Oryzias latipes: one gene and its partner. The protein of the gene in region 1 interacts with the protein of each later gene in a pairwise test. Links are inferred from orthologs where the notes say so. Each region holds a gene or a part of one and is shown on either strand. Other genes may lie near its edges.

Region 1 (3,752 bases):
TCTCAATCCAAAATAGAGAATCTGTGGAGGGAATTTAAACAGCAACAGCCCCAAAACATCACAGCTCTTGAGAAGATCTGTAAGGAAGAACGGACCAAAATAGCCGCTACAGTGCAAGCCTGTTGAATATTTCCAGGAAATACTTTGTCATTGAGGGTTTACAAATACTGAGGGGACATTTCTTTTCGACCAAATACTTGTTTTATAGATTTTATCTTCACCCTGTATAGACCCAAGCACGTTTTTTTTCTCCTTATAATTGCGTGGAGTCATGTTTTTTTCCTTTTTTTTTTTACATAGATGTTTTAGTCTGTTATTTGTAAGTATCTTTTTCTTCTTTTTATTGTATTTTTTTCTTTTTTAGTTTTTCTGAGCCACACAGGCACTACGTTTTCTGTTTGGTCCTTGTTTTCCCTTTTCTCTAAATACACAGCCTACAATTGTGGATTAAACTAACTGACCAAAGCTGGGTGTTGCTCATTCTTTTGTGCTTTCAGGACTTTCACATTACTAAAGTAAATACTATTATGAGTAGTCATTGTTATACCCTAAATTGATAATATAAGTTAATTGCAGTTTGTTGTACATTGTTCATTTTACATCATGTTTTACCTCTGCAGGTTTTAATGAAAGTATTAATGCTATTCAGGACTCGTGTACAAATCTGTTGTAAAATTACTTATGAAGAACAGTAGCATTAATCTTTAATGTGAAAAAAAGGTTGAAGGAAACTTTCACAAAACTTATCACGGGCATTTTAATAATATATTAACAAAACGAGATATAAAAAAATCACAAACACGAACACACACGACAAAACTCCTGAGCATGCCTTGAACGCATCATTGTGTAGCGTGGCGAGGGCGGAGCGTATGACGTCGAGCTGAAGCTCGAGCTGTTTATTGTTCCTTCCTGAGCACCGACAGAGAAAAACAAGCTGTCAGCTACTCATTTGATACGGTTCACGGCCCGTTTTACTAAGGTGTAACGGTTAAGAAAGCTGACTGTACAAAGCAGGTGCTATGGCGTACGCGTACCTCTTCAAATACATCATCATCGGAGACACAGGTAAGTAGCATCAAGTGCCAGCTAGACTCAGCGGTAGGCTATCTTTCAGTTAGCGGCTATTTCCGCAGTGTTGGATAGTCCAATGACGTGGTAAAAGCAGAGACGCAAGGGGTGGGATGACAGCTCCGATTTTCTCCCCCGTTTAATACATCCGAACCAAAACCAAAAAGAGAAATAAGAAAAATAAAAACGGTCGTTCCGTAACTAGCTCCCCCCCTCACCCCGGTGCCGTAGTAGCTGTTGACACCGGCAGACGTTGGGCCTTTTGTCTGCTTGCGTCGAGGGTGGGGGTGTTAGCCGCTAACTAGCATGCTAACTGGCTACACCTCTAGAAAAGATTACAAACAGCTGTCACGACAGCAAGTTAGCCTGTTTTTTCGTGTCAGTATACATAAAAATAAGTCGTAGCATTCAATTATTTTTGTTTCTGAAACATTATCTTTACTAGTTTTGGAATAATTTAAACTTAATATTAGACAGGGCCATGATAGCGTGAAGCTAAAGCTCGTAATAATTTTTCAAATGGCGTAGACAGAGCTTGTTGACTCTTAGTTTGACCACATCTATTTTCGCGGTTCACATGTCCCCACTATACTCGATTTCTGCTTTCTATTGGTAAACGTATTTATGGTTTGGTTACACAAATGTCTTCGAGTGTTATCCGCTTATTTTTTTGACAGATTGTATTGATGATGATGGGCCTGTTCAAATACACGAGCAGCAGGTGCATATGAAGAAGAACTGCTGTGACAAGAAAATCTAGAATCTTTAGTTTGACATAAGCAGATTCTCAGGAATGTGATGGGGACGTCTGATCTTTAATGGCTCAATCGGATAGAAATACCACGTTGGCTGAATGAAAATTAGACAGCAATTGAAGGTAAACACACCGAAAAATAAAACTTTAAAATCATAAACTAGCTCCAAACATTGTAGAAAAGATCCTTTCTTCTCTCTTCTGGACTACATGGTTCTTGCAGAAGAGGTTCATGTTTTTATTTGTTAATTTAAGAGGTTCATGTTTAGCTCGTTATCATTTATTCCTAGTTATCAAAGCTGTTTACAGCTCTGGCTAATATACCAGCTCAATTCGGAGGGTATTTTCAGAAAAACAGACCACACAGCTCACATCAGCGGGGCTAAGAGTCATCAAAATCTTGAAATGATAACCACAATATGTGAGTGTAAATTCTCCAGAACTCTCAGTTCTAGATTTCATAATGAAGATCCAGCGTAGAAAACTTGAACTGCAACTTTGTATATCCATTTTGGTTTAAACAGGTAATTTAAGGTTAATGGTTACCTTCTGGTGAAGGATTTTTACTTTACTGGGTCTTTAAAATTGTATAATTATTGCTTGGAGGAACATAAAACTGCAGTTCCAACTGCAGATTGTAATAATGAATCAAATCATGTGGTTTTAATAAAAATAACAGTAATTGCGTCATCAACAAAGGGGTTACTAGCTTGAAAAAAATTCCTTTTGCTCAGGTCATCAGCAGTAATTGGGTAAAACATTCTCTGTCTGAATTCACTCACTTCTCCCTCTTAAAAGACTATCCAGTGTCATTGATTTCACTTTTCACTTCAGTTTGGACCCATGATCACTACTTTTTGTAGTTTTTTTGTTGTTTTTTTAACTTAAAATATGATCTCACCCGTTTGTCAAAGTAAAAACCTTAAAAAATGTACATTCTACAAAGACTATTTATGAATCTATTGTGTTCTGATCATAAAAACTTAATGATTTATTTAAAAACAATGCATTCATTCAAATGACAAATTGTTCAAATGCAATGTATTGTTACCTGTTTTCGCCTATCCAGTGACCATCATGCACACTAGTTTTTTTGCAGAGGTTTCTTGGAAATTTCCAAGCCACTGGATTTTGGAATCATAGATTCATAGTGAGTAGTGTGTGAATTCTGACACTTTTTACTTTATTATAGATGGTAAAGTGACGAAAATATTGACGTTAATATACAGTGAAAAAAAATCATCACAATTGAAAATTTGAAATGTATCAGCATTGACAGAAGGAACATCGTCTTGGTAGTTTGGGGTAAAGTATTTTGATTTTACACATTCCTTTTTTAATGATAATTATAAATTGTTATTGGTATCACTTCTTTCTGTGCTGACAGGTAAAGAGACTATTTTTGACATAAATATTAAAGCCATGCTTTTCACTGGGCCACTTGTAATCACCTTTAATGTATCTTGTAAATCACAAACTAATTTCTCTGTGCGGATGCTAATTTGGTTATATGTAATGTGCTGTCCTGCATGCAGACATCCTGAGAAAGAAATCGTTTTCTTTGTACTCCTCGGCTGTATAAACTACACACTGAAGCATATCTTATGGAAATTTATCTGTTTTATGTTCATTTTTGACATCATAAATGAACTTTAAATCATTGGTGTTACAGGTAAATATCAAGGGATAGTGTTTAGGCTCTTGTTAATTTTTCATATCAGAAGTTTGATAAAAATTGTATTTCATTTTTATCCCCACTGAGTCCGTTTTCATTTAATTCCTTAAGAACAGAATTAACCTCATCTTTCATAAGAAAACTATAATTCTGGATAGATATGTTTATGAAATGGGTGTATATTTTAGCTTATATCATAGCTATAGTCCGGATATAAACAGGACTGCTTTGCTTTTTTCCCTTTTTCATTTT
Region 2 (3,735 bases), on another chromosome or scaffold:
AAAACTTAAATTAATTGATTCCATTGGTAACAATTAATTGAGTTAAATTTATTCAACCTAATTTTTTTACGTCTATCCAACTCAACAATTGTTTATACAACTTTAAATATTTATCTAACTAAATGTTATATTACTCCAATTCAGTTAAATGTTTTTCCATCTTAATCATTCTACTTCTTGAACTCTCATATGTCTGAGTTTGAGCCTGCAGATATTGTCCATAATTCTGCAGCAAGGTTTTTAACCAGTACCAGTAAACCGACTCACATAACTACTCTCTTGTCTGCTTTACAGTGGCTGCCTATCAAGTGTCAAATTGATTTTAAAAAGTTACTTGGAGTTTTCAGAGGGTTGTGTGGAAAGCCACATCATACAACTCTGACCTTTTAACCTCCTATTATTATTATTATTAATCTTATTATTATTCATTTTGAATGAATGAATGAATGTTATTATAATTATTGTAATTGTTGTTCTTATTGACTCTGTGTTTAGGTTTGATTTTATGCTGTCTTTTTCGGAAGCCCTTTGTAATTCTTTCTTGGAAAAGTGCTATAGAAATAAAGATATTCTATTCTGTTGTATTCTATTCTATTCTAAATAAATGAAAAACTGTGCCCCCCCTCCCTGATTTGCAAAAATGCAATGTGTTCTTTGTTCATTTTAAATCTTCTTAGTATCTCTAACTGTTTAAATTTGATGTAAAATGTTAAATGACGCCTCCTTTTTTTATTATGGCCATGAAACAAACCCTGAGCGGTCCTTGTTTTTCATTGTGATGCAGGACAGATTGCAGCCTGAAGGGGGCAGTAGAGCGCCGCCGTGCTGCGTTGGCAGTCAGCTCCGGAGAAGAAGAACCCCCGAACTCGGGAACTCGGTTGGTGTCAGCATCGTTATGTTGTGATTGTGGTTTCGATGCGGGAGGAAATCCTAACTCCGAGGATCCGTCCTGTTCGCAAACGGAGCCCCTAAGATGGCAGGCGAGGAGGAGAGGGGGGTGGTTCGAGTCAAAGTCAGGGTAAGCTGCGCGCGCGGCCGGCGCGGGGGACAAACAAAGACCCGCTGCTCCTTTTGTTCATTTTCAGGCTGTTTGTCCCGAAAGCTGCTGGTCGCTGATGATCGATCGGCTGCTCGCGTTGATCGACTCATGCAGTCCTCTTGTTGATCAACCAGCTGTACCTCACAGGAGCGCGCTGACGTCACCCTGGAAAGGCAGGCGCGCTCGTGTTGTTGACGCGGGTGCGGGCTTTAGGCTGGTGGTCAGTCTGTCAGCTTCTCAGGTGTACAGAGTTCCAGCAGGAGCATCGTTTTTATAAACTGATCACGAAATGAATGAATGTTGATACTGTCCATAAAATCCAAGTCTCCTCTAGAGCGGTTGTTGTGCTGAAAGGCATTCTGGGAGTTTTCATTGAAGCTAGAACAAGGGTTTGCCTTTCTTTAACCAATGATATCAACATTTGTTTAAATCCTCCAACGGAAATGTTTTTTTCTGTGTGTTCATGTGGTATTTTCTCATGATGGAAGACATGTATAAAAACATTTAACATTAAATATGCGTTTCTTTATTCTAATCGCTGTCAATCAGGAGCAGAGTGGACCACGAGCTCCCTGCTCTGCTCTATTCTGATCATCCACCGTCAGACAAATAGATCCATATTCGTCTTTGTTTTCCTCTGAGCTGGAATCTGGATCTGAACTGTTCGGATGGATGGATCTGATATTGCTCACCGTTTTCGATGCACCACTTATGTTAGGTTGTTGGTTCGTTTGTGGGAGTTTTGACTGCTGGAACAACAAAAGAGGCAGAGATGGATTTCATTTACTCTGAACCTCCTTTTCCTGCATAGATGAATGCAGGTTGATACTAAGTAAAATGCCTCGGTCAAAAAAAAGAAAGATTCAAACTGCAGATTTAAATGAGACAGAGTGATGAAGTGAGGTTTGATTCTTTCAGAAGTGTGACGGGGCTCTTCCTGTGGAGTTTCGCTCGTTTGCTGTGGATCCTCAGATCACATCTCTGGAGGTCCTGCAGCACATCCTGATCCGGGCCTTCGACCTGAACGGGTTAGAACTGTCCACCTCTCTTCCTGTCAGAGCTTCCCTTAGCGAATGACGATACACTGATGGGCATTTTTCCTTTTTTCCGTGTCTGAAACCAGGAGGCGGAACTTTAACATCAGTTACCTGTGTCGGGATCGCAGCAGTGCTGAAATGTACCTGTCCTTGCTGTCTGACTGGGATCTGGATGTTGCCTTTCTCAGTGCCGCCAAACCGTTTCTGGAGCTCAAGATGGATGTGAAGCCCTCAGAGGACAGTAAGAACAGCGTCCCTTCTTTAATGCAAACAGCTGGCAGTAGAAGCTCCTCCAGCTGTGAGGCAGAGTGGACGTGTGACACGTGCAGAAACCGTTCATGAACATTGTTTTTCATGTCATTGCAGGTCCTGTGATGGAGGACTGGGACATCATAAGCCCCAAAGACGTGATCGGCTCTGAACAGCTTCTAGCAGAGAAAACGAGATCTCTGGCTTCTGCAGCTCTTCCCTTCACACAGTCTCTGCTCTCCCAGGTCCCCCCCCCCCGCCTTTCTTTATTCACAGCGGTTCACAAACGCGTGGACGGGGTGGGAGTGCAATGCCTCACAAAAATCACACTTCAGTTCATGATTTTAGTCACTCTTCAACTTTCAAAATCAGTAAAAAGAGAAAAAAACAGGACAAAATAACAAGGTGAAAGCGTAAATATACACCTATAATATATATATAAAAAACATTTACTCATGTCTTTGAAGTCGATATTCCTTCGTATAAAAAATGTCCACATATACAAAACAAAGTGCCGTATGGCTGCATATTGTGGGGGAAAAAATATATTTATAAAAGTAAGACAAATAAAGAATGCCAGAATTAGACAAATTCTTTCACTACTGCTGTAACCCCCCACCCCACTCACTGGAAACAGACGCAGCAGCCGGGGGGGGGGGGGGGGGGGGGGGGGGCAGCTCATACAATTCTGTTTTTACTGCCAGGATGTTGGTCAGGTTCAGGAGCTGCCTGTGTTTGATTTTTCATTTTCTACAAGTAACTTTAGGACTGGAAACCGAGCAAATGCAGCCTTTCTGTGTTTTCTTCTTGCTATTTAGCAGCCAGCAAATCTTTCAACTCAAAGCGCCGTGATGCTGTTTAACCTGCTTTCAGGTGGGACGCACCCTGTCCAAGGTCCAGCAGGCCTTCGCTTGGTCCTACGGGGAAGAGATCAAGCCTTTCAAGCCCCCCTTAAGTGACTCAGAGTTTCACAGTTACCTGAACGGACAGGGCCAGCTGACCCGGCCAGAGGAGCTCCGGCTGCGGATCTACCACGGGGGTGTGGAGCCCTCTCTGCGCAAGGTTTTCCTTCTGAGCTTTACCTGTCAGCTTTAACTCCTGAACAGAAATGAAGCTTTTTGCCAAGCAGGCGGATGCATCTTGCAGTTATTTCTAAAGCTCTGCCCTCTGTGTGTGGCGTTCTGGTTTAGTGAGAAGCCCCTCTCAGTATTTATGGACAGCTGAACCTCCTCGTAGCTCCGGACCAAACTTCCAGGAAGAAAACCCTGATGCATGTGTCTCTGAGAACACAGCAGCTCCGGTTTCCATCATTGAAGTAATGGCGTCTGTTTGCTGACAGGTGGTTTGGCGGTACCTTCTGAACGTTTACCCCGATGGGCTGACTGGACAAGAGAGAATGGACTACATGAA

What was found.
Region 2: the proteins of rab2a (region 1) and tbc1d25 interact in binary tests that used the Homo sapiens proteins (3 or more experiments, as listed by UniProt). The link is inferred for Oryzias latipes from reciprocal best matches to the Homo sapiens genes RAB2A and TBC1D25.

The regions. Positions count from the first base shown.
Region 1 is NC_019875.2:20,930,727-20,934,478, forward strand, and holds the start of rab2a (ras-related protein Rab-2A), read left to right. Parts: upstream 1-849; 5' UTR 850-1,022; coding exon 1,023-1,068; intron 1,069-3,752.
Region 2 is NC_019865.2:31,334,682-31,338,416, reverse strand, and holds the start of tbc1d25 (TBC1 domain family member 25), read left to right. Parts: upstream 1-821; 5' UTR 822-973; coding exon 974-1,018; intron 1,019-1,957; coding exon 1,958-2,067; intron 2,068-2,162; coding exon 2,163-2,317; intron 2,318-2,442; coding exon 2,443-2,570; intron 2,571-3,198; coding exon 3,199-3,387; intron 3,388-3,664; coding exon 3,665-3,735. UniProt on the Homo sapiens protein: Acts as a GTPase-activating protein specific for RAB33B. Involved in the regulation of autophagosome maturation, the process in which autophagosomes fuse with endosomes and lysosomes.